4 linked regions of the Saccharomyces cerevisiae S288C genome follow. The gene in region 3 interacts genetically with the main gene of each other region. Each region holds a gene or a part of one and is shown on either strand. Other genes may lie near its edges. The genes, in order: MRPL19, GPH1, PEX9 and MGT1.

Region 1 (2,705 bases), on a different chromosome or scaffold from region 3:
AGTATATTAATATAATATCTGAAAGGGACGTTTTAAAGGAACCCAACGCATATTATCTCCTATACACGAGGCTAACTCCAAAATCGGTTCCATTGCCATTGGCGAAATCTGCCATGGCCACTGGTAATGTTACCTCTAAATCCAAACAGGAACAGGCTGTTAACGAACCAAATAACCGCCCATTGAAGATTAATAGCAAGAAAAATAACAGAAAAAAATGGAAAAAAAATAAAAAAAGGAAGTTCACCAAATGAAAAAACTCGATATTCCTGGATTTTCCTCTTTTCATAGGCATTTTTATTAGCATTTCATTTTTATTATACCAAATCAATATATACATATAAATATCCGGTCTTTATTGACTTATAAAACAACTCTCAGTATACAGAGTTGGAGAAGCGTTTACTCAGAATAGCTTCAGTACTACCGAGCTTTGCTAACATAACGGGAGAAAGAGAATTTAAAACTTATATACATATTTACAGAATAGATCAGTAGAAAGAAGAAGGAAGGTCTGTTGAAAATTTCTCGAAATTGACGGTACTTTTTTGTCTTTTCACTACTTACAGATCAAGGTACAACCTTAATACCCATACTTTTTGCAACGCCAACTATTGATTTAACAATACCTTCCATCTCCAATAAACTATGCCTTTCATCACTCTTTTTTATCTTGGCTATTTCGTAAACGTGCTTCAGCGATAACTCTCCTAAAGCACGGGTTGGTCCCTTGGCAGGTGCACTGCCTAACATTGTCCCCACATTCGGTTGTCCATGTCCCTTGTCCATTTTAAGAGCTTTTAGCAGCAAATATCCGGTTGGTGGAGATTTCATTTCAAACGTAAATGTTCTATCAGGTTTTATTGTGATTAATACTGGAACCGGTACACCTGGCTGATAGTTTGCTGATCTTGCATTAAATTCCTTACAAAAGTCAATGGCTTTTATACCCTTGGAGCCCAATGCGGGCCCCACGGGAGGTGATGGTGCCGCTTGGCCTGCTCCTACTATTAGCTTTACTATCACGTTTTTTGCTGCCTGTGACATTATGGAGACTAATAGTTCCTCTATGGTATTCGAGAGTTCGAAAGTACAACAAACAGAAATAAATACAGAAGGTTACGCTGTCGATTTGAATGTTCACGCTTTTTTTCCTTCTTATGAGTTGTAGATTTACTGCACTTTCTAAAGCTTCTTTGCTGTGAAATTTTAGAAAAGGGAATTGTCGCCTTGGTAAGACAATTAATGTTACCCGCTTCATTATTATTAATTAGTGGCGCGATATTTTAACGAACTTTTCCATTAATTATTATCATACTAAGCTTTTACATTTTTCTGATAAAATAGTAGATTATGAACAGGAGGTCAATCTATTTAGGCTTCTATAGAACGGTAAAATATGAAATTAGTTTAACAGAAGTAAATATGACATTGTATTTTAACATATACTCAAATAGGATAAAAAAAGGTTATATACAAATGCTTGGAAAAGAAATAAAAGTGGGGACGCTTATTTATTGATTATTTTGCTTTTTCTTTTTCTTTTCTAGGCCTGCAATATGTGCTTCACTTTGATCCACTTGTGTGTGATGATGGTCTTCTCCTCTAACCACTTTGAACGATAATCCATCTTCAACCAAGTGGCACATATCAATGCTACGGATCCAAGGATCTTCCATGATTTCTTCGATATTTCCTCTGCATGCGGGCGCCAAATCAATCATACGTCCAACAATATGCTGAGTCTCTTCTGGTAATGAGTGCAACAATCTTTGTGGCCCGATATTAACATTATTAGGATCTGATACATTATTGGAAGAGCTTTCGGGTTTTTTCTTTTCTGTTGAGTGCGATTCATCGTAGGAAGGTGGATCAGGAGTTCTTGTAACCAAGCTACTTAAGGAGTCGCAATCACGTCCGGAACAAAATAGTTTGAATGAATTGTCCCTTAATTTCGGAATTTTCCATGGAAATTTCTTCAGTATCATACATGCAAAAATGATTGCAGAAGACCAAATATCTACGGGACGTGGGTCATACTTCGCAAATATACAGACTTCAGGTGCTAAATATGGATCACTTCCAACAATTCCACTTGCTTCCACAAGATTTTTTGAGAATGGATATGAAAATACCACAGCAGCACCAAAATCGATTAATTTTACAATACCTTTTTCGTTTATAACACAATTATCTAGCTTTAGATCTCTATGAGCTAAGCCGATACTATGCAAATATTGTACACCAGTAAGTATTTGTTTGAAGCAACAACAAATCTCTTCATAGGACATTTTATTACTCATTACAATAGCAAATAAATCGTATTCACAATATTCCATAACTTGGAGAATTCTATCATTTTCATACACGATTTCAATTGTTTCAATGATATTGGGATGATTCAAAGTTGTACCAATACAGTATTCTGATGTAATTTTCTTGACATAATCTCTTTTGGATTCATTTTCAAATTTAGTTCTAAACTCCTTCACTGCAAATATTTTGTTATCTGAAATTCTTTGAGCTAATTTGACAGAACCTCCTGCTCCAGCGCCTAAATCGGCACCGGTTTTGATGTACCTTTTTGAGAACGGAATTCCTGAACCGCCGTGACTATGAGAATAAATAGTATCTCCATTTCCGTTATAACTAGTGGAATATGAGTTATTCCCTGCGGCAAAATGAGACGATGAATGAGAGTGTGA
Region 2 (5,253 bases), on a different chromosome or scaffold from region 3:
TAGAGAAAAAAAATGGAAGCTTTAAGGATGAAAGAGCGAAACCAGATGAGTCTAAGGAGTTCCAAAATAGTGATATTGCAGATCTATATTAGGTTATACTATTCTCTCTTCCTTTCTGGCCTCGTGGCTAATTACGGAAAGTTGTATACTGACTACTATGTAATCTATCACGTTTTGTCACTGTCTCGCTCTTTTCAAACAATCCATAAAATCGAAACTATTGTCAAAACGTCAGTACATCCTACCTGATAGGGACTGTACCAATGTCAACGTTCGAGTAAGTGATAATAAGGACCGCCTTACCCACCTTCAGGACACTCGGTTTTACACAAGCGTTATCCTGCGCGGATTTTCAATATGAAAACAACTAAGTTTTCCTGTAACATCATATATACCATTTAAAAGAGTGCCAAAAAACCGATAACGATTATTTTAAAGGCGTTTTATATAAGAGAAGAAGTAAAGAGAAAAAAGCGCTTACTAGAAATGGGGAGAAGGGTGCCAAAGAGATAAAAAAAACTCCCAGCTAAGTCACTGGTTCAACGTTCCAAATGGTATCGGAGTATTCCTCGATACAACGATCACTGCTAAAGAAGCCGACGTTTGCAACGCTCAGGACACTCTTTTTTAACCATTCTGACCTTTGATTGTGGAACTCCTGGTCCACTAATTCATGGGTGGCCAGATAGGATTCAAAGTCATCACTGACCAGGTAATAATCGCCGTGGTACTTAATACTGTCGACTAAAGGTTTGAATTCATTTGGATTTTCTGGAGAAAATTGTCCACTTTCAATGTAGGATAAAACAGAATCCAAACTAGATGGTAAATCTTGTGGATGGTATTGATGGTTGTATCTCAATTCTTCGACATTTTCACTTAGGTTACCAAACAAGAAGACATTATCTTCACCAATTTCCCTTGTGATTTCCACATTGGCACCATCAACAGTACCAATAATCAAACCACCGTTCATAACAAACTTCATATTAGAAGTACCAGACGCTTCAGTACCAGCAGTAGAAATATGCTCACTCAAGTCACTTGCTGGAATAATGATTTCAGCCTTAGAAACATTATAATCAGCAACAAAGACAACCTTCAACAAATGCTCAATTGACTCGTCGTTATTAACAATGTCAGCAACACAGTTGATCAATTTTATGATCAGCTTAGCCATGTAGTAACCAGGAGCACTCTTACCACCAAAGATTGAAACCTTGCGTGGATATTTCTTGGCAACTTCTTCGATCGAAGCACCGTTCTTCAGCATATTCTTCATTGCCAGGTAACGGTATATAATACCAAAGACGTTTAGCTGTTGACGCTTATATTCATGAATACGTTTAACTTGCATATCAAACAAGGTGTCGTCCAAATACTCTCTGTTAATGATGTCTACTCCATCATTTTCCTTTTTGATTAAATCTACTAATCTGATCTTATTATTAAGCTTGACTTGGTTCCATTTTTTCAAAAACTCCTTATCTTCAACATATTTTCCCAACTGGGTCAGTTTGGCCATGTCCAACAAATACTCCTCTGTTGGATCGTTAAGGGTTTCACTGATCAGTTTAGCCAATGAAGGGTTAGCTTGCTTCAACCATCTCCTTGGTGTGATACCGTTAGTGACATTGACAAACTTTGATGGACCATAGAACTTGACAAAATCTTTAAATATGGTCGTTTTGATTAATTCAGAGTGCAATTCAGCAACACCATTAACCTTGTGTGAACCAACAATAGCCAAAAAGGCCATTCTGATCTGTCTTTCTGGAGAGTTTTCTTCGATGATGGATATACGAGACAAAAGATCAACATCCTTGGGGAATTTTTTGGCCACATCTTGCAAGAAGAACCAGTTGATATCATATATAATTTCCAAATGTCTGGGTAGCAAATGGCCAAAGAGGCCGACGGGCCATTTTTCCAGGGCCTCTTGCATAACAGTGTGGTTAGTATAAGCAAAAGTCTTGGTCACGATGTCCCAAGCCTCGTGCCAATCTAGTTTTTCTAGATCGACCAAAACTCTCTGTAATTCAACGATGGCTAAAGTTGGATGAGTATCATTCAACTGAATAGCCACTTGGTCAGGAAATTCAGTCCATGGCCTCTTGGATTTTTTGAATCTTCTTAAGATGTCGTGTAAGGATGCAGCACACCAGAAGTACTGCTGTTTCAACCTCAACTCCTTACCTTGAGCAAAGTTATCGTTTGGATACAACACAGCGGTTATAGACTCTGCGCGTTGTTGCTGAGCCACAGAGTTTTTATAGTCACCATTATTGAATTTTGCAAAATCAAATTCTGTTGTTGGCCTTGCTTGCCATAGTCTTAAGTTATTTACATTGGAAGTCTTGAAACCCGGAACTGGGAAATCATACGCGACAGCAAGAACTCTTTCCCCACCGATCCATTGTGACGCACTCAGTGTAGTTTTACCGCCTTCTGGTCTATCAACATAACCATAAAAGGTGACAGGAATTTGCACTTCGTTACGTTCAATTTCCCATGGATTACCAGAATTTAACCAGTAATCTGGAGTTTCCACCTGGTAACCGTCAATAATCTTTTGAGCAAAGATACCATACTCATAACGTAGACCATAACCCCAGGCAGGGATGCCTTCCGTTGCCATTGAGTCGACGAAGCAAGCTGCAAGACGACCTAGACCACCATTACCTAAACCTGCGTCCGGTTCTTGGTCCAAGACATCCTCTAACTTGAAACCTAAATCATCCAAAGCCCCTTTAATCATTTCTCTTGGTTTTCCCTTTGAGGCAGCAGGGTCTTCCGGATCTTCAATCTTCATATTAATCAGGGCATTATCCAAAGCCCTACCCATCAAAAACTCCAAAGACAAATAGTAAACTCTCTTTGGGTCTCTTGTGGTGAATTTCTGCTGAGTTTTGTTCCAGTCAATGACCAAATTGTCACGAATACTCATCGAAGCAGCTTCATAAGCAGCCATGTCATCACAATTATATAGGGAACGTGCTAATGTAGTTTCCACATGGTCAATGAATCTATCTTGAAAATCTTCTGCCTTGTTAAATTTTTTGACTTGATGCTTATTCCATAACGCTCTTGACTTTAAAGGAATCATCGTGTCAATTGACTTGATTTCTTGGGGAAGAAACCCCGTAAGTCTCCTTGTAAGCCTTGGGATTTGGTGTGGAGAAGTAGGTTCTTCGGTTATCATATCATTGGTAGTACTAGTACTAGCTGGCGGCATTGTTCAAAATTAAATTAAGTTGAAAGCTGCTTTACTGAAATTGTAATGTAGAGAAGTCAAAAAAGATCCAATTGTTTTTCTTTTGGATATTTTTAGTAATCGTTACCTTCTCAATCTGTGCTTACTTTATATTACAATAGCAAGCAGAAAAAACTTATAATACTTCGTACGTAATCAAAACAAAAGGTACAACAAGAAACGGGAAGGCACAAAGAATCTTGCTTTACTGCTATACAAACTTCATGCTCCTTTTATACATATAATATATTCGTCGGTGTTCCTTCCTTATCTTTGTAGCATGCACATGGTAGTTATTAACCTCCCCTGAAACTTTTTTAGCGAAAATTATCCACCCCTTACTTATTTCCTCGAGAGTCTCTAAAAAGTAAAAATACAATAACGGTAATTGGGGAAGGCGTTCCTTGTTAATTCAAAATGTTATCCTTGAAACATAGAAGGTGCTGGCTGCATCTCGCAGAGCTTCCTCTTCCGTTGAGCGTTGTATTCTTCCCCCCACAGTGCTACTAGGCGATGCCGCTACCCCTTGAAGGGCCTTCCCGCTGTGGGGCAGCGGCCTTTTTTCCTTAGTGGGAAACAAGCACCGGGGTATATTTCATTGTCTATCAGGAGAAGAGATCGTATACAAATGTTCGTGAGACGGTTTCATCTTGACTAGTTGCCTTGCTAGTCGGATAACTAGTGGAAAGCAGTAGGACACTCCCGATGAGTTTGCGTTTCCACGGGGTTTGACAGAGCTACCTATTGTCTTTTTCATCGAAGGAAACGGTAGTTGGACCTTGCCTTGGATAAGTTGGTGAATCATCCAGAGCTTTAGAAGGGAGCAAAAAATAAAATCTGCGCAAGCCCGGAATCGAACCGGGGGCCCAACGATGGCAACGTTGGATTTTACCACTAAACCACTTGCGCTTGTTATTTACATGAGTGTGGTACTTCTATTGATGGTAGGTGTTCCATTACTTTTTTCGTCTTAAGATGAGCGAGCAAACACAGGGAGAAAATAAAGCGCAATTATTTACCTCATAGGGTACACAATATCCGTGAGAAAAGGATGAATTTGAAATAATTATACAGACTCCTTTTTTTTCAACGTAAAATTATAAGCATAGATTAGAGGCGCTCCTGGATAATAATAGGAACACACACAAGTAAATCAGCAATTTCTCATATCGTACTTATTCGGTAGAGTTAATAATATTCTACTAAAATAACTACTGGTAAGTAGTGAGAGCTTGATTTTTGTACTAATAACTTGTTTCAAAAAAAAAAACGAATAATCAGTTTTACAAAAATGTGTATACCTATATAAACAATCTTAGAGGTAAAGTTCTCCCTCACTAAAAATAATAAAAAATTACGTGCAGATGAGAACCCCGTCTTACCTTAGTATACCTTTAGTTCCCTTTATGACCCGATTTGAACGATAAGTCTTTTATATTTTATTTCTTCCTAAAAGAAAAATGTATGCATTGTAAGTAACTTTTTATGACCATGGTAATAATTAAAGCCGAGGGCTTGTAGATTTACCATCAAAATACCCGCTTAAGAGGATAACTTGAACTTCGAGCTAGTACATTTACCAGTTAGGATATTCTTAGGGAACGTGTAACCAGCATCTTCCCAAGTAGTTAAGTTTGCATTCTGGAATGCATTTAAGTGCGATTGAATATAATCATATGTTGGATAGTCACTTGGATCGCATGTCACGGATATAGCATTACTTGGTTGGTATATTCTAACATAGTCAATCGACATAACCACTGGGAAGAAAATATACTGCCAATCAATATAAGCCCAATTGTTGGAAATACCCAGATTTAGAATAATCGACATTGGTTCTTTACTGATTCTTCTCCAACCAATATTACCATCAGGATGTAAGGCTTTAGCATGAATAGTATAAGTTGGAGTATCACCAACAAACCAACGGATATAACCATTGTCGTCATCGTTCAGATACTCAATGGCATATTTTTGAAAGTAGCCACCGTACTCACCGA
Region 3 (4,103 bases):
CCATGAAAATAGAAGCCTGCTTGCATTAAAATCACCCAACCCCTTCAGGAAGAAAAGGGAGAGAGAAAAGCGAGACCAGATCTACAATTTGAAGTTAAAGCATCGTCACTTACAGCAAGAAACTATGAAAAGAGCCCAAGATTCTGACAAAAATTTAGCCATAAATCTAAGTTCTGAATATGGACGGTATGGCCAAGGGGTGGAAAGACAGCGTATTCTTAGAGATGCCCAGAAGTATCAGTTTGAAGCCGATGAAGAAGATAACCAAATGGAAATCGACTTGTACGGAAACCTAGAACAAATAAAAGCGGTGAGTGGTGACTTGAAAATTATGGCTCACGCTTTTGGCAGAGAGTTTGAAGCACAAAACACTAGAATGTTTGACATCGAGAACAATGTACAGCAGGCAGATAATGCTTTACAGGCCAAGCGATATAGATTGGAGAAAGTGATCGGGAAAAGATGGTGATCTGTTATACACACAAAATATCGTGTATAAATATATTGAATAAATAGTTTCTAAAAAGGCATACGCAGATATTCTTGCGAAAGAGAAAAAAAAAAGAGCGAGGGGGACATTAGTACTGAAGGTCTCAATTCTTCTTTGTATTTTCTTTCGGAGTTGTCAGACAAAGCTTTCTCTTTCCCATAAATAAAGTGCATTCAAACATCGGCAGGTTTGTTTTTCCCAGTTGTTACGTATTTGTTTCCCGTTCCATTCATGATCTTAAACTGGGTTAACTGAAAAATCAACATGATTTTGTGAAAAGTAAAAGAGGGTAAGAAAGATAGATACCGCTGTCGTGGGACTATATTTTTTACAGTACCAAGTCTACTTGCTTCTCATAAAGTTGATAAGTTATAATTCATATAATTTCATTTGTCAAAAAAGATTTTAGTTACAAAACGATATCAAAGTTCAATCTTGTTGGGAAAAAGGAAAACATTATGAAGGGTTTCCGGTAATCACTGCGTATGCCACACTATTCCTATAGAATTGTCTTGATTGGGTGCTTATGCTGCGGAAAAATTATATTCTGCGCTTGCCTTTTATATTAAGCGTCACAACGCCCTTACCAAGATCGAGCGGATTAAGACAAGAGTGTATCTCAAGCGTCCGTATATGTTTAAGTTGAAAAGGATATTTAGTAAGAATAATTCTACCCTACAAACGATATTAGTAAAAAAAAAAATCAATAATAGAGTTATTGTACAAACATGTTCTGAAAATTGGAAGCATCACATCGTATGCTACTAGAGAAAATTTTTACTATCCTTTTTTCCACAAGCCCAGCCCTAGCCCGATCATCCTATTAATTGTCAGACCACCGAATGCTATCCCGCCACGGTTGATATAACGAAACTCTTTACTGCTTTGGGTCAAATATGCCTCTTTTCCGCATTTTTTCGGAGTAGTTCATTGCCGCATACATACCGCAACTTGGACGAGGATGTCCTCCTTCTCTTACTTTTTTATTCGTTTCCAATTTGTTTCTCGTACCGTTCAAGTTTCAAGCCTACAAGAAATGTACACGACATGGATGCGTCAGCCTGATTCAGATATGACAAGATTGTTCCTGCGCATATGTGAATATGAGCGCACGCAATACATTGAGATCTTATTTGGGTTTGTAAGTGCAAACTTAATTTACTTTGCTTCCTGCCGGTTTTGATGTGCACCTGGGAACTTAAATAGCCGCCAAAAGAAAAGCAATCAGAGCGGCGCGGCGCAGACAAAACCCGAAGAGTTTCCTGGGAACGGTAGAGGCCTTGGTAGTACCTTACTAACGCCGGAGAGGATGATTGATACGCATTGAAATCGTACAGAAAACTTGGGGCAAAGCGCTCTTACCCCAATATTCTCACCCAAACAGTGGCAATAAATAAAGAAAAGGTCATCACTTTTTTTCGTACTCTTATCCGTTTTATTTTATTTTATTCTTTTTTTTTGAGTGGAGAATCATTAAGAATAAAGGGTACCTTTTGTAAGCACGATGAACGAAGTTACTTGTTCCATAACTGGTGACAACCCAATTCATAAGATCAACAATGGATTAGGCTTGAAATGGAATAATCTGGGTAAATTCTCTGATTTTCAGACTAACGATAGCGCCGCGCGAGATGCTAGAACAATAGATTACATCTTTACCAATTGTCAAACCGGCAGCAGTATTGGTAAGATAGATTTTCGGGCCGCACTACCGGCAGATAAATCTCAACATAGTGGTGTCAGCGAAAAAGAATTTTCAAGACTTGAGAACCAGTGGTCAAAGGAATTCTCTTGTTTCCCCAAGAATAAAAATGCTGATGTGACCAAGCCCAGTAGAAACAAACATGAGAAACGCTCCGCTAATTTGCACAATAGGTACTTTGCACAATATTATAGTACGGCATATCAGCAAAATCGTATATATCCTTGTCGAATATCTTACAATGAACACTCATCTGTTTCTAATGGCTGGGAATTTCAGTTCAAATCAATCGAAAATCAGTTACTAAATGAGCTAAAGATAGAAAACAATGTAGAAGAAAAAACTGTTGGTTATGAATATGTGGCAGAATACGAAGAAACAATTGATTTCATGCATATGCTGTCATCCGTACCACAAACATATCAATTCCTAAAATCAAACATCTACATAACGGAACGGGACCCATATAAAATAGGATGTGTACTAATGGACAACGGTTCCAATTTGAACGAAGTAGTAATGGCCTTTGAAGCAGCCATTTCACAAGATCCAAGCCATATAAATGCATGGTTGAAGTTAGGTATAGTTAATTTTGAAAATGAAAGCGAAAGCAATGGAGAGCTTGCTTTGCGAAATTGCTTAAATTTGGATCCAAATAATACAATTGCATTGGAAAACTTAGCAATTCACCATATAAATCAACAAAATGAATCAGAGTCATTGAAACTTTTTCACAAATGGATTCTTTCAAAATTTTCGAAGGTTTTCCAACCTTCTGCGGGGGAAAACAAAGATAGCATTAATAAAATTCCGAAAAAGGCCCATTTGGCGCATATTCTAGAATCCCTGTTGAATATGGGTATAGAAAAAAAAGATCAGTATGATATATATTCAGTATTATCAATCTTATATTATTCGGATCAGAAAATAAAGCAATCTCAGAAATGCTTAGAGTTTTTACTACTGGAAAAGCCCAATAATGGAACAATATGGAATAGATATGGTGCTATTTTGGCCAATACTAAGTCGTATCACTCTGCGATAAATGCGTACAATAAATGCAAACAACTAAGACCGAATTTTACAAGGGTTCGTTATAATTTAGCGATCGCCTACATGAATAAGGGTGACTATGTAAAAGCAAGCAAAATGCTAATCGAAGTTATACTGTTACGAAGTAAAGGATATGAACACAACAAAGCAAAAATGCAAAACAAATTTATGCAAAATTTAAAAAATGCTCTCATCGCTTCAAAAAATTTTGATTCACTTGATCTAATAAATGGTTCTCATAATACAGAATCGTTAATATCAACCTTAAAAGCTATTTATAACAAAATGGATTAGGTTTTAGTTAATTTTTTTGCTATATAGTGCATTCAAAATAAAAAAAATTAAAGCTGAAACAAACCAAATATGCTATTGGACGTTCGAAAAGCTAATTGCGTAAAGGAACACTAAACACAGCAAGCTTATGCTAGTTCTTCTCAAAAATATAAGTTCCTCTTGCAAGAATATGAAGGTAATTTCACTTTATCGCGCAAGTGCATATTTCTGAGTTTACTATGTGCTTCGTCTGAAACCTCTCATTATCTACTTAATATCGGCTATTCATCTCACGTATTCACGTAATATTTGATTTTTGTACTACTATTTCTCTCTGTCATACGTGCATGATACATTTCCTTGTTCAAATTAAAAGAGTCACCGTCAGCCTCTCAAAACAAAGAAAAAAGATACCCGGCTGAACATGAGTATCAATCATGAAATATATTATATACTTGTATTTGAGCATCGTTCAGTAGCAATCAAGCTCATCATCGTAGTGATTGTTCTCCTTCAGTTTTTTTTAGCACGAAGTCGGCAAATTGATAGGACATGGGCCCATACTAATAGAAAGGAACGGTTCAG
Region 4 (2,691 bases), on a different chromosome or scaffold from region 3:
GAATTATTGCCTTAAGGAACAATACAGCTTCAAAACATGGATTTCAAAACATTAATGTCTTGAGAGGTAACGCTATGAAATTCTTGCCCAACTTTTTTGAAAAGGGCCAGCTTTCTAAAATGTTTTTTTGTTTCCCCGATCCTCATTTCAAACAAAGAAAGCATAAGGCAAGAATTATCACTAACACCTTGCTGAGTGAGTACGCATATGTTTTGAAAGAGGGCGGTGTCGTGTACACAATTACAGACGTCAAAGACCTGCATGAGTGGATGGTAAAACATTTAGAAGAGCATCCTTTATTTGAACGGTTGAGCAAAGAATGGGAAGAAAACGATGAATGTGTGAAAATAATGAGAAATGCCACAGAAGAAGGTAAAAAAGTGGAAAGAAAGAAGGGTGACAAGTTCGTCGCTTGTTTCACAAGATTACCAACGCCAGCCATATTGTAACATAGATGTATAACTAGAACAATTTACCACATATACATAACTATTTCTTATGTTTATTTTCCTAAAATCCTTTATCCAACTACAATCTACTAAGGCTTAAGCTATTTTCCTTTTCATTATTTAATAACTGTTCTTTCAGTTTACAGCTCCATTTATATCCGGTTAATTTTCTATTGCTACCAACGATTCTATGGCAAGGTACTAACAATGCCAGGTTATTTGAGCCGCAAGCTCTTCCGACAGATCTTGCGGCAGTTGGCTTCCCTATTCTCTTTGCAATATCACCATATGTTACGACGTGGCCGTGTTCCACGTTTAAAAGCTCATTCCAAACTTTACGTTGAAAATCTGTTCCAAACAGGAACTCAAAGGGAATAGCGCCCGATGGTAATGGCATTTTGTTTTCTAAACATATTGTATAATTTTCGATTGATTTCTTATATGTTTCTGCCTCTTTTAGTTCCTGTAAATCGTACATTGTATCCTGTTTCTCATGTTTCTTCAAGAAGCCTTCCACCTTTCCCAATAAAAAAAGCTTATCATTACCTAACGAGGCAAAAACAAGGTTTTGAGTCTTTTCCCTAAACACCAAAAATGCACCAGTCACTTCAGTTTCAATGAATGTATAGTAAAGCAGTTCCTTCATCGTTGGTCCATTTAGATCAAAAATGCGACCGTTTTCAATTTTTTTTTTGTGCATATGCTATATCATTACTTGATTAATCTTCCTTGTTTCCACCGCATTTTAAATGCCCTGCCAGGCCAATAGCGCCGTGCCTTTTTTCTAATGACTATAATAAGAATATGTATGTAGGATAAAACTAAACATTTATACTTAGGATGAAGCAAATATTTTTATGAGGCCATACTAGGCAACTGCCATGTCTCCAGGCGAATTCTGGCCTCCACCTGAACTGGGTTTATTCGCAGCAATGTTGTCGCTGATATTTGGATCGGTTCTGTTATGAAAACTGAAAAATTCTCCAGTCCTTGATGGTCCTGAATCAGATGTAATGAAATAAACATTTTGTGCAGAACCGTGTGTCTGGTTCGATAAGTTTCCGTTTTTGGGTAGAATCTGCTCATTTTGAATAGATGAATAGGCTTGATTATTTTGTTTGATACTACTTCCTAGAGTGTTTATCTGATACGCGGAAAAAGATGGTGAGGAGGAGAATTCAGAACCGGTATCGTCAAAAACATCATCATGGTTACCGCTACCGTTTCCGGTAGAATCATCATCAGAATCTAACCTTTCGTCACGGGTTTCTATAGGAAAAATCTTCAGCACAAATATAATGGAAATAAAGGAAGATAAAGATGGAATAAGATAAAACTTCCAAGACAGACGGTCAATAAGTATAGGGGTTATTAAGCTGACGAACCACTTAAAAATCCAATAAAAGTTTGAGACTAGTAGTATCACTGGGGCCTGTGACAAGTGAGGTAGAAGCTCAATGGTCATAACCCATCCTATAGAATCCCAACTGATGAAGTGCGTAAAAAGAAAAACAGCAAATAGTATTGATATATACCTCGTTGTGCTCTTGGGAAACCAGTCTGTAAAAGATATGGTAAATAGCAATGCACACATCACAATCGAACCTAAGAGTACATTCGTTTTCTCTTTACGTTTCCGTAACACCAAGGGAACATATGCTAATATTACGATGCTGTAAATTAAAGCATTAAGCCCCGTTAAATAGATAGATTTTCTTTCTCCTCTCCCCATTTGTTGTAATATTAACGGTGAGTAATACAAGAAAGCATCCACTCCATTTGTTCGTGTGAGAAGTTGGAAACCTATCAACAATTTTATTATTGAAGAAAAATCCTTTAAGATATACGCATATGGATAGGAGTTTTTTTGAAGGTGTGACTTTAATAATATGTCTCGTTTCAGGACCCTAAATTTCAACTGAGTTTGGTTTTCTTCGAAATTTCCATCATCGAAAACATTCGATATTAAAACCAATGCCTCTACGTCGTTCTTTTGCTTCAACAGCCACGAAGGGGACTCTAAAATAAGATAGAACGACATTAGGTTTAGTATTATTCCAAGTGCCACATGTGTTGACAAAGGGTATCTCCATGCAAAGCCCAAATATCTGAAAGCACAATTAATCCATATTCCGAATGAATACGCAATGACACTAGAGACGCATTGAATGGAAATTAATGTCCGTTTTCTTATACAGGGAAGGGGAAACTCGAATTGATAAATTATTACCATAGAAAAGGC

What was found.
Region 1: mutations in PEX9 (region 3) and MRPL19 together harm fitness more than expected from each alone (negative genetic interaction), as found in Saccharomyces cerevisiae (one large-scale study listed by BioGRID).
Region 2: mutations in PEX9 (region 3) and GPH1 together harm fitness more than expected from each alone (negative genetic interaction), as found in Saccharomyces cerevisiae (one large-scale study listed by BioGRID).
Region 4: mutations in PEX9 (region 3) and MGT1 together harm fitness more than expected from each alone (negative genetic interaction), as found in Saccharomyces cerevisiae (one large-scale study listed by BioGRID).

What each region holds. Positions count from the first base shown.
Region 1 is NC_001146.8:291,623-294,327, forward strand, and holds MRPL19 (mitochondrial 54S ribosomal protein uL11m MRPL19), read right to left. Parts: upstream 1,048-2,705; coding exon 571-1,047; downstream 1-570. Other genes in the region: ubiquitin-specific protease UBP10, read left to right, coding at 1-254; YNL184C (uncharacterized protein), read right to left, coding at 935-1,261; serine/threonine protein kinase NPR1, read right to left, coding at 1,515-2,705.
Region 2 is NC_001148.4:859,288-864,540, reverse strand, and holds GPH1 (glycogen phosphorylase), read right to left. Parts: upstream 3,236-5,253; coding exon 527-3,235; downstream 1-526. Other genes in the region: cyclin-dependent serine/threonine protein kinase SGV1, read left to right, coding at 1-92; YPR159C-A (uncharacterized protein), read left to right, coding at 4,126-4,227; beta-glucan synthesis-associated protein KRE6, read right to left, coding at 4,796-5,253. UniProt on the Saccharomyces cerevisiae protein: Phosphorylase is an important allosteric enzyme in carbohydrate metabolism. Enzymes from different sources differ in their regulatory mechanisms and in their natural substrates. However, all known phosphorylases share catalytic and structural properties.
Region 3 is NC_001145.3:308,214-312,316, forward strand, and holds PEX9 (Pex9p), read left to right. Parts: upstream 1-1,994; coding exon 1,995-3,539; downstream 3,540-4,103. Other genes in the region: SPO20 (Spo20p), read left to right, coding at 1-469; STB4 (Stb4p), read left to right, coding at 3,943-4,103.
Region 4 is NC_001136.10:99,973-102,663, forward strand, and holds MGT1 (methylated-DNA--protein-cysteine methyltransferase), read right to left. Parts: upstream 1,096-2,691; coding exon 529-1,095; downstream 1-528. Other genes in the region: TRM8 (tRNA (guanine46-N7)-methyltransferase), read left to right, coding at 1-449; YDL199C (uncharacterized protein), read right to left, coding at 1,318-2,691. UniProt on the Saccharomyces cerevisiae protein: Involved in the cellular defense against the biological effects of O6-methylguanine (O6-MeG) and O4-methylthymine (O4-MeT) in DNA. Repairs the methylated nucleobase in DNA by stoichiometrically transferring the methyl group to a cysteine residue in the enzyme.